Linked DNA regions of Neodiprion lecontei. The protein of the gene in region 1 purifies or fractionates together with the protein of each later gene. This does not show direct contact. Links are inferred from orthologs where the notes say so. Each region holds a gene or a part of one and is shown in the gene's direction. Other genes may lie near its edges.

Region 1 (6,310 bases):
GTAGGTCGATTTTAAAGCGAATCCCAGTCAAGGTGCCTCATCACGACCTCTTGAATGGCCTGGTCCGAGCCATGGTGTCGTCCTTTAGGTACCCGTTTGAGTCAGGGGAAGAGACAGAAGTCTGGGGGAGCTACGTCTGGGCGGTAGGGTGGCTGGAGACTTTTGATCATTTCATGGGTTGCACTCGCGGTTTTACCGAGTTCGATGCAAGACTTGCTTGCGCAATGCTGCTCGATTACACGGTTCATCGTGAAGCGCGACGAGACACCTTGACTGGGGTTCACTTTAAAATCGACCTATACTCTGGAAAGGCTGGAAGGCGATTGGGGATCTGTGCGCTGCTTAACTAACACCCGTATTCATAATCCTTCGTTGAAGAACAAGGATTCCTTGGAATAATCTGGATATGATGACTTGCAGCGTAGATTGGTGAGAGGATTTAACGAAATGACTGATTTTAATATATTTGGATACTTTGATTAACTTGGATTTATTTCATAAGTTCAATATTTCGAGTCACAAAAACGGAGTTACTCAGAGTAAGATCTTAAATTAATATGACAAAATGGAGCTGAAAGCTCGCTGGACTTTTGGGCAGAGTAACGTTGTATGAAAAGTTTAAATGCAAAAGACAAAAGGATTTTACCGCGAGACTGTACCGGCACAAGATGACGAATCTGGTGGTAGAAACCAAGAGAACGATCCGATGATCGGTCGCCGTTTTTATAGGTGTTGATCGTTGCGCAAAACGATCCCCTTCCTTAGATTTTGTCAACTTTTGCGCACCTTCCCCTTTCTTCTAGGAATTAGAATTAGGCCACGACATAATATGGTAATCGTAGTGCGTATGCGCTAGAGGTGACCCATGTTTCGTGGTGTACGTTAGTGCCTTGTGCACTTTTGGAGTCACGATGCGCTGAATTCTAGTCATAGCTTACTTCTTAAATATTCTTACTATCCTGTTCGTTACAAAGTCTGTATATTAAGATTGTCATATCGGTTACTCTTCGTTTTGTTAGTTTTATAGCGTGTAAATATGTGAAATTGCATGTGTGTTATAATTGATTACTGTCGTTATTCACCTGGAGTACAATAGCGATTGTTTATGAGACATAGTTGCTATTTGCTTAACATTATTAGAATCGCGCTGCTGCGAATATTCTTAGGTTTTTGTGTTATAACTATCTTAACAGATTTAGGGTATTTAACAATTTGATAATTGGTAGTCTTAGAGCAGGTTTGCATGTGTGCTTTCGTATATAATTCTCTTTTGTAATTATTAATTCTTATATTAATATAAATCGGCTTGGAAGCTTCTAGAACGTTTTTCTTAAGTTTGTTGGTTGCCTGTTACTGGGCGTTGCCACGTATGCATCTTTGAGTTTATTGCGAGTTGATTTACCTTCAATTGTTTCGTCGTTAAGTTTCGTAATGTATTCTCTAGATGGAGCTCTGTATGGCTCCACATTGGAGATCTGCATGGCTACAAAACCTGCGCGTGTTGTCTACAATACGGCGTTACGGAGGAAAGTATAATTCATGCTGGATAATTAGTATTCACGGTTTCGAAGGTTTTGCAGTCTCTGGTTTTATGGATTATTGCAGCAGTGCTATCTTTACATTATATTGGTCATACATTTATCTAGGGTTTTACAGTCTTTTATACTCCAGGCTATGTGGTATAGCGTAAGTTGCTTATAGTGTAACTCTCAGTGTCGAATTGCACAAATGGCATTGTCGAGTGTTATAGAATAATTGTATATAATGGTGTTAGTTAATTATGGTGTTAATATGATAGTGATATATAATAACGTATAATAATATTATAGCTCTTTGTAGTGCGAAGATCTCGTAACATGGTTTTTAAGCTTTGGTTAGTGAATGTCATAGGTATTTCCATCTAGGGATATTCCAAATAGTTAGACAGTGGTTTTAATACCTTATGGTTACAAGATTCTCGTACTTCGAGTTTGGTTGGTTGATAAAAGTGACATGCAGTCATAATAGTCGATAAAACATACGGACATTCCGGTCGGATGTTACAATACAACGACACGGTGACGCCAGCGCCTCAGACTACTGGGGTACCGAACTAACTCAGTACCCCAGAACGCGAAAACCTTAAGAACTGCTCGTCTATGTATCGTCTGAATTTGTTGGTAATAATATTACATCGTGCCTCTACCCTTCCTAGATCTAACGACTGATCCGAAAACTTCCATTTCTATCGGAGATTGTCTATAGAAAATGATTGCCGAGTGTTCGTTTAGCGTTTGGTATCCGTTGTTCGGCAAAGAGTCATTGGAGGCTGTCACCGTCCCGATACCAGATGAGGTTATGGCGTACCTGGAGCATGAGTCGTTTCGATTACCTGTAGAGGCGCGAAATTATTCGAAATCATGCAGCTCGAGATGGTCCGACGGTACTTTGGTACTACCGAATGACAACGACGACGTTCACCTAGACCAAGCACAATTCACGAATGTGAGTCTGATTGCATCCTCTCGGACTTGTGCTATCTTTAACTGCATCTAAAGACTGGCTCGTTTCAAGGAAACCTATCACATCAGGCCATCTTGCCGATCTGTGTTTCCATCATCTTTACTAATAAATGTATGAATAATATGTTGTTACAGGATTTAAGCGAGCCGTCTTATCCGATGTTCAGCAATCAAATTAAGGATGTCCTTAACGAATTTGGTGCAGTGTTTGTTAAATTGAACTGGAGCGCACCTTTGGTGAGTGGGCTTTTTCCATTCCCAAACGAAATACTCTATGCAGTAGCGGTAAATGAGATGAAGTAGAAACTAAGCTAGTTTTATGGTCTGTAGGGTGATTTGTTCGTTGCTAAACACAGAGTGCAATTGATGTAGCCTTTCAACCTGGCACCTGCGTAAGCGGTTTTCTCTCTCACTTGGGTCTAGCGTTGAGCAACGAATAAATGAGCCTGTATATCCAACTAGAATAGGTACCAGTTACATCCGTTGAAAAAGCACTGCATGTCTGTCTGACAGCCAGAGATTGATATCCGTTTCGCTATTGGTAATTTTTGAAGAAAAAATAATGTAACAAAATAGCAGGCCCTAAAGGTGTAATTGATCAAATCTGTAGTGAAATATAGCAGTTTGGTGACTTTTGAAGGATGCAGCATGGGTTGCCCCTACAAAAACACTAAGATGCACAACCTTGGAAGAAATCTATCTATTGCTCAAAAGTTCAGATCGATTGGTAAAAGACCTGAATCAGCTACAATCCTTAAAGGATAAGAAGGTGAATGTGCCACCCTGCCTGGTCTTGAAGAAATGGCGTGAAATAAATCCCTGTGCAGAGTTTCGTTGCTTTGTGATAAATGGCGAGCTTGTTGGTAATCGATGTATTACATATAATGATTAACTTCTATTTTATATAATCGTGAAGATTGTAATAAATAGCCACTGTTAAAATTTTGGACAGAGCAACTTTGATGATTTGTCCCTTCTGCAGCCGATAAGTATTTCAAATTATTTCAGGAATTTGTCAGCGAGACCTATCGCAATATTATCTGTATATCGAAACGGAGAAGTATGACATACGCCAGGATATTAAGAGTTTATTCCATGAACGGATAAAGAAGAGATTTGAATCATTGACAAATTGTAAGTATAGACAGCAGTCCACCTTGAATGACTATAAATACATAATAGAAAATAAAAGTGTAGATTCTACTCAAAACTGTTGAAAAAGAGGGACATATTATGTGTTTTGGTAAAATATACTTGTAAAATGCAGAATTTCGTCCTAAATTAATGAAAACCACTGTGTGCAGCCTAAGATGTGCTACATTTATAGTAAAAAATACAATAGGTATGGGTATTTTTTATTTATTTTTTTTCACCGCAAAACTTAATGTGTCCCTCTTTTCCTGTGGTTTTGAGTAAAATCTGCTTTCATTCTTTCCTTGTAAAGCTACTAATTATCACAGACTTTTATAGATGTAAACTAAACTGCTAGCATAAATAAAATTATAAGCAAATTATTTTTGCCAAGTATGGTGCGCATAGATGAGTATTTGGTTTAGGTGCAAAACATTGAAGTGATTTTTTGAGCTTCTTCTCCAGCAGTTCAAGTTATCATACAGAAGTTTGTGTGACTTCTCTCTACGTTGCAATTACAATGAAGCCTTTATCTTTCCAGATGTATTTGATGTGATTCGTCACAAAAAAGATCATGTCAAAATAATCGATTTTAGTCCGTACGTCCCAGGTAGCACAAAGACCCTGCTATTCATGAAGGAAGAACTTAATGGACCCATTTTCAATCCCCCAGAGTTTCGCCTTATTGGTGAAAATGTTGCAATTCAACCTAATGACGCAAGCACTTTTTGCATTCCAAGAGAAATCAACGAGTTCTATCAGACCAACAGTTCACAGTCTATGATGGATATCATTCAGCAAGTAAGTTTCAACTATTACGACACTATTAAAAAGTACCCTGAGAAGTCAATTCTGATATTTCGTGATGCAGGTAACCTGGCGTTATCTTATCTGTCGTGCCATCTTCGACAAAAGCCTAATAATTTCAAGTTCAGCTTACTCCTGACATCTTGTATGAGCCTAAATGTATCAACCATGACTCAATCTGAATACAAAAGCGTACCTATTTTATATAGATTCTATTCAAGAACCATATTATATGTGAAACTAAAACTGCATAAGCAGTTATAGGGAAACACGGGAATTTTTTGGTACTGGAAGAAGCAGAGAAATAACTGAGAGTTTGTCTTCAAACTTCAGAGTACCTATTCTGTGAAAGTAATTTTAATCATTCGTTCTACATGGTCGAAATAATATCAAAAATATTGATCAGTCATTGGTGAAATGTTTGGGTCAGGGATAGACTTGATTTAAACCGAGATGACCGTCGCAATAGTCATATGCCTCTAAGCTTACTGAGGTCGAACTACAATAAGGTCAACAATACTGTCTTTAGGGTATGGTTAACATCTTAACTAACCAAAAGAACTAAACAGCTGTTGAACTCAACAGGAAGTTCACAATCAGAATGAGCTGTGTGAAATGAATAAACATCCAAATCGATCTACTGATGAGGATTACCAGTGATGGAAGTACGAAGATTTTGTCTACAATTACTGTTTTCGCCTAAAGTGCAATTACTTACCCATTATTACCAGTTACAGGTAAATGTTGTGACAGTTATTCATTAATGCTGCGGCTAGCCACTTCATCTCTTGTAAGTCTGCATCTGCCATTGACTGACATACATTTTTCTTATTGTGCACAGTTTTTTCACTCAATGTAGTCGATTATTTTTCACTGAAGCTCAAAAATCATTATTTTCAAAATGTTTGCTCATTAAGTTAATTACTTAATTGTATAAAATACACTATCATTGACTCTGCTCAAATAGTGCGTGATTCAGCGAACAAGATGTTATGTCATGCTTTCGGCAGATTCATTCATAGAATAATCGAAATACCTGTTGTATGTCATCCACTGTTGGCAATTACAATAATATAATGTTTTATGTACAGAAATATGTGAAAAGAATTAATAAATCTGACTCTGTTGTAATATACTTATTTTCAAGTGTTTGCGATTACGCTCAACCTTTGTTCTGCCATCCTACATTGTGCTCAGATTACAAATACATACAAGCTAATAGAGAATGAGTTCTATGAAGCTACCATATAGATTTAGTTAGAAAAAATCATTTGCACCAAAGTTCCTGAATTTCAAAGACATTACTTTGCCTACTTAGTTAAACTTTGCTTGGCTAAATATTTTTTGTTTTTTGATAACAATGTGCATCATGACGCTTCCAATTGTTAGTCACCATACGACAACAACCAGAATTGAAAAACAAAAAATCGGTCATTACTCTACGACTTTCTTTCAAATCACATGAAATTTTATAAAAAATTTGTTGTATGACATCGCGTTATTCATCTAGCGACCTTGCAAGTTTTGTTATAATTTTCCAAATCTCGAAATAGTAGAAATAATTTAAGTTGTTCAGATTAAATTGGGAAAAATAATGAAATTTCATTATCAGTTGAAGATGTGCTGTGGAAATTTTCATACCTCGTAACAATTTCCAATTTAGGCAACTCCCAGTGCCGAAAGTGCAAGCTTTGCAGTTATAAATTTAATCACGATCTTAATCGCGCGTGTAACCGTTTATTCCAATAATTCGAGTTGCGATTCTAGGATTTCATTTAAATAATACTAACGGACTTTTTTTTAAGTTTACATAATTTTAGGCGTTGCAGGAATTCCACGACACTGCCGAAGCACACCGGAAGAACACTCAA
Region 2 (5,768 bases), on another chromosome or scaffold:
CGAATGGTCTGAACGTAGCACTCCTTGACCAAACTATTTGCCTAGTTTCTCTACGTATCAACAGAGTCTTCTTCTCAGGTCTCTTGCGAAGGAAAAATCTGGTAACCACTGTTCCCCGTTCCAAACGGCTTATGATCTGCTCCATCTCTGGTATTCCGTTCATCTTGCCAAAAATTTGGTAACAATCTGAAGTAATGTGAGCAAACTGGATAGTTTTAAAAATGAATTTGGGTAATGAAAGACACAAATGAGAAACGCTTGTGACTATAACAATTTCTGTTTACGAATTTTACGACCTTTATAATACCAGTAAATATTTTTCGATACATCGGAATTTCGAGCTAACCTTGAAATCATTCACAAGTATATCGAAGACTGGGAAATTAGAAAATCAATCGAAGTGCGAGTTACTGCAAGTACATGCGATTGTTATACCCCATGTAGCAAGGCAAAACATAACCAATAATGGAAAACTCTCTCGCGTTAATTTCACCACTGTAAACAATTGTAATATTTGATGTGTCACACCACGAACCTTTCACACTCTCTATTTAAGACGTAACTAGCGTTATAATAACGTTTGCAGCGAGCAGAAGTCACTTTTTCGGTGTTATTATTTTACAATCGGGTTACATTTTATCATAAAATTCAGCGCCCAGTTTTTTCAGTTTTCTTATTTTCATACAAACAGCATTCAAATAAACTTTCCATAACATGCATGTACGTACACTCCGCATCGAGGAACGTTTCTTTTTTTTATTTTTTTCAAATAGGCGATATTTTACCTTATATTCTAATGAGGAAATATATTGCACGAACTAAATGCGGTTAAAAATGAGACCGTTGTATCATATATCCGCCTACTGTCATCAACTGTCACATTGTCGAAGAAATATTCAGCCGCTGTGCAACTAAGCTCCCGACAAACATATCGAGCAGCAATATCCGTATAGTTTCGGTACATCCAATACCCACTCTAATACGGCACTACACGTATGTCGTACGATGTACGCATTCGTGCATAGAAATGGAATAGTCAAATAGTGTAGCGCGACGTACGGTTGCGTGCACTACTTTAACTCCGCAGGAACCAGCGGAAGGCAGCGGGCAACAACACCAACTGTTTTCTCCTCTGATTTTAGCTTTGAGTTCGAAACTCACGGTTCGAACGCGATTGAAATCGCCTGTTGGCGATTGGTAAGTACTTATTCGCCTTTGCGCAAGCGACTTGCGAACGGCGCAACTGCGGCTGGCGGGCGCCGTCGGTTCAATTCGATAACAAGAAACTCATTGCCCAGGTAACTCCTGCAGTCGTGACTGCGTATAACCAGCAGCGATATTTGACGAAATCAATTCGTCTGCACAAATTTACCGAATGAGCTAATATTCACGACCGTGCAATGATTTTTCTACGACTCAGACGCTCAAAATTAACGGACATTACACTTCCGGGAACTGGGTATAACATGACTAGAACATCGTGTGGTTCAAGTTTATCAAGTTTAATTACAGTATATAATTTGTAGTTATAAATCGGAGTATGGATATACTAGTAATTTTATTCGGATACGGATAAGATATAGTTTGGAATTACGTTTCAAACGACGAAAATAAACAAAAAAAAAACAATCACAGGGAATCGAAAGTCGTGATGTTGTCAATATAATAAAATTATTGATACTGCATACTGTACTGACTAGCGCTTAAGCTGAATGTATGAGATAACACATTCTTCTGACCCTAATTACGAACAGGATGCGACCAGAGGACATACAGTTATGCACTGCAAAGCTGAATTCCTTCTAATTCGACCATATTATTCTCAACGCGTACTGAAAATGAGAAATATAATATTTTCACGTAAGGAATCGAGACGCATTTTTCGAAGCATCATTCGTCTCAATATAGATGCATTTTGCCGCGTACTAAAGTAGGTACTCAAACTAGCCGGCAAGGAGTACTCGCATCTCGTTTTCACTCGTCAAATTTAACTGGAAACGACGTAGGCGTGCCTGAACTTCACTCTGATGAGCCGTCAGAGCTTCACGGACTTGTCGCGCCCTCAGCACGTGGCAGCAGCTGTCGGTCAGACACCGGATTTTGATGGAGGTTTCTACCAATCGGGTGCTTTCGCTTCCCACCGTATTGCTATTTTGCGTGCTTTGATTCGCCGATTGATCTCTTGTACCTGCATGTGGCACCGAGAGAATATTCTGATGCAATAGACGTCAGAAAGTATTTTTCATTCTTCCGACAAACCAGTTAAATATATTCTCGAAATAACCAAATTACGTACAAAAAGAAAAGTTCTCTGTTTCTTATCAACATGACCGAAGAGGATTCGGTATGTATTTAATGAACCAATATTTGTGACTGGATAAGGTTCACTAACAGTGCACAGATTGAATGGCACAACGTGTTCCCATTTACGCATTTTTCATATATTACACGCTTCTGTAGCCATTTATTCCCCCGAATGTGGTGAATATTGCTTGGCTTTACGTCCAGTTTACATGACTCGAATCAGAAATTTTTTAATAATACATCGCAAACACAACCTCAATCCTGTATCAACGTATCACGGATTTTCAGGCAGATTTCCATGCGTCCACGTGATCTGTGTGGTTGTGGTCTGAGTTACAACAATCATTCTTGATATCCGTGATAATTTGGATAAAGCGATAAAATAGAACTATAAACACCCTTCTTGCGTATTGCATGATGTATCATCCATTCATTTTTTTCCTGCGTAATACTTTATACCGATAATAATTCATAGGATAATCAATGCTTCTCAAGCTAAAAATATGCTTATATTTATTCATCGTCGACGGTACTTATATTTTTCTCAATAACAGTATGATTTTATAGATTCGTTTCCCCTGTGATTTTCACCATATAGATGGGACTGATAGTTAATGAAACTTAAATTTTTCAGATCTTTGATCCTACTATGAAAATAAAGAAGAAAAAAAAGAAGAAGACTACTTTCGATCTCGATGCTGCAATGGCTGAGGGCGGCAGCGGTGGTGAAGCCACCGAGGGCATCGGTGATAAGGAAAATCAAGAGCCAGAATTGGGAGCGATAGATGACGACGAAGGCCTTGATCTAGAAAATTTTGGTAAAAAAAAGAAAAAAAAGAAGAAGGCATTCAATCTAGATGAACTCGATATGGCTCTCCCAGAAAGCAAGAAGGAAGTAGGTGTTACGTGCCGAATGATTTGAAAGTTATATGAATTTTATTATAGCGATGAAATGAAAGTCTATAATTGTTGAATTCTTGTGTTCGCTGTTTTTATGGAACATGATTTAAAGATATAAAAACATAACACAAGAAATACATCTCGAAAGACATAGCTGCGATTTCTTGAGTGACTTCAGGATCGCAGATTCATTTGGTGAAGTGATTTGACATTTTGAATACTTACCCTATTATCTTAAGGATGGCGCAGAGCCAATCGGTGAAGATGGGCCTGCGGAAAGTAACTTTGACCTGGATATGGAGTTCTCGGGCAAAAAGAAGAAGAAAAGGAAGAACATTCTCGATAACCTAGTAGCTGAAGAGGAAAAGAAGGAAGCAGAAGATAGGGAAAATGGTAAGTATTGAGACTAAACTCTGAAAAAACTATTTTGCTACGAGTTGCTTATCGTGTATTCTATCTGTTAACATGCTTCACTGAATCTGAGCGAAGTGTAGAAACTGGTAAGACACGTTGGTCGACTAGATAACGACTAGTATTTGTTTTTGCACTAAAATGCTTGTTTTTATGCTTTCTTAGCCGTTTGTGTCACAATTCTACTTTCGCTGTTTAGTTTAATATTTACCTTTTCGTGTCACGTTTGTACTTGCTACAAAGTAGTAAACCAAAATAGGGAAGTATTAAATTTATATTTTGTTTCTCATGGTAATGCTATTAAGAAATTTGTTACCACTTTAGTCACATTTTGATGACTCTTTTCCATTGTACCAGTCGAGGACACCACGTCGTGGCTTGGTTCAGACAGAGATTACACATATGATGAGCTACTAGCCAGAGTATTTGAAATAATGAGAGAGAAAAATCCTGACATGGTGGCTGGAAAGAAGCAAAAGTTTGTCATGAGGCCCCCGCAAGTCGTACGAATCGGCACCAAGAAAACTTCTTTTGCAAACTTTACTGAGGTATTGAATTGTTTAACTTTTTGATGTAATAGTTTTAAAACTAAATGCATGGGAATAATCAATATGTCGATACCCTACTTGCGAAAATTTGAAACAAAGTGACTTTTTTTTTTTCCTTCTTTCATTTTTTCATAGATTGTAAGTATATTCTCGCAAAATATTCAAACCTGAAGCCCTCACCAATGAATTACAATTTGCCATAGTCTGCAGAATACCCTTTTGTCTGAAAAATTAAACGGACCCTTTATTATCTTTCCCAGATTTGTAAAACACTGCACAGACAGCCGAAGCACTTACTGGACTTCCTACTGGCTGAACTGGGAACCAGTGGATCTGTTGATGGCAATAGTCAGCTTATTATCAAGGGTCGCTTCCAGCAAAAGCAGATAGAGAATGTACTAAGGAGATACATCAAGGAGTATGTTACGTGTCACACGTGTCGCTCCCCTGACACCATATTGCAGAAAGATACTCGGCTATTCTTCCTTCAGTGTGAATCGTGTGGGTCTAGGTGCTCCGTCGCTAGCATCAAATCTGGTTTCCAGGTAATTTATGAACAAATTTTTCGTTTCATCTACTGGACAATATACAACAGTTGGTATTGACATTTGTTTTTTGCTTTCAGGCTGTGACTGGAAAGCGTGCGGCTATCAGAGCAAAAACGACTTAGACACACTTATGGTGATAATGAGCGCGAAAGAAAACACAAACCCAAAATTATCACGTACGTTATTATTCTCAATAGAAAAAAAGTTAAATAAAACATTCAATACATACAAAGAGCTGCTGAATCGAACTTTTACAATAATTTTACCGCGTACGTAAATGTAAAGAGTGTATGTTATGTACTGTACCTTTTGTCACCTTGTACATAGCCTTACTACAATAATAATAATAATAATCAAGGTTTTAAATAAAACGCTGTTCAAACTGCAATTCGTAAAAGTAATGCTAAGAAATATTATACTAAATCAATTTCCAACAGTTGCAATATATAATCAGATGAATTAAATTGATGTCATGAAGTGTTCACGTTCGTTTCTTATAGGTAATGTACACATCTGTATTTACTAGCCAATAAATTCATCTCAAAATCATCTACGTTGAATATTCTCATAAATGTTTCTGAAACTTGAATTTATTAATTTATCATGTCTAAGTTTAAATTCAAAATATCCGAACAGTGCAACGTAAGCAGCGATCAGGCTTCGGGTCAGGTTAAATGTACGCGACAATCATGCCATAATTACATTGTCACTACATGATATCGAGTGCATGGCGATATAAGTAACCAGTATGGAAATTTTCCACCGCTAAAATGACAGTTGTGAGTAAATATTTACAAATACATTGTACGAGTTGATTGGACAAAAGTAGAATATATTCATATTTATTTATGTCATGCCATAAATGTATTGTACTGAACATAGATCCAGAACCATTTTCATACTAATCGTCAATTTTTCGTTGACGTGATTCTGCGAAAGTGAGTGGTGGCGTCGCTGTATGTATAAACAATCGCCAATCGGTAAATCGTCGAGACGTCACCATCTTGAAAATTTACCTCCAGTTTAACCGCCGAAACTTTGCGTGCTATTCGCGTCT

The links.
Region 2: the proteins of cell division cycle protein 123 homolog (region 1) and eukaryotic translation initiation factor 2 subunit 2 purify together in Homo sapiens (affinity purification with mass spectrometry; 4 studies listed by BioGRID and IntAct, counting the BioPlex papers as one, with this or other methods). This does not show direct contact. The link is inferred for Neodiprion lecontei from reciprocal best matches to the Homo sapiens genes CDC123 and EIF2S2.

What each region holds. Positions count from the first base shown.
Region 1 is NC_060264.1:36,452,843-36,459,152, reverse strand, and holds cell division cycle protein 123 homolog, read left to right. Parts: upstream 1-2,114; 5' UTR 2,115-2,247; coding exon 2,248-2,484; intron 2,485-2,636; coding exon 2,637-2,738; intron 2,739-3,141; coding exon 3,142-3,364; intron 3,365-3,509; coding exon 3,510-3,635; intron 3,636-4,173; coding exon 4,174-4,433; intron 4,434-4,503; coding exon of another isoform or gene 4,504-4,578; exon of another isoform or gene 4,579-4,641; intron 4,642-4,648; coding exon of another isoform or gene 4,649-4,693; exon of another isoform or gene 4,694-4,928; intron 4,929-4,968; coding exon of another isoform or gene 4,969-5,004; exon of another isoform or gene 5,005-5,024; coding exon 5,025-5,099; 3' UTR 5,100-5,691; downstream 5,692-6,310. UniProt on the Homo sapiens protein: ATP-dependent protein-folding chaperone for the eIF2 complex. Binds to the gamma subunit of the eIF2 complex which allows the subunit to assemble with the alpha and beta subunits.
Region 2 is NC_060261.1:38,616,042-38,621,809, forward strand, and holds eukaryotic translation initiation factor 2 subunit 2, read left to right. Parts: upstream 1-2,171; 5' UTR 2,172-2,326; coding exon 2,327-2,344; intron 2,345-2,938; coding exon 2,939-3,199; intron 3,200-3,443; coding exon 3,444-3,597; intron 3,598-3,671; coding exon 3,672-3,704; intron 3,705-3,972; coding exon 3,973-4,163; intron 4,164-4,423; coding exon 4,424-4,708; intron 4,709-4,788; coding exon 4,789-4,833; 3' UTR 4,834-5,260; downstream 5,261-5,768. Other genes in the region: 1-phosphatidylinositol 4,5-bisphosphate phosphodiesterase gamma-1, read right to left, coding at 1-163.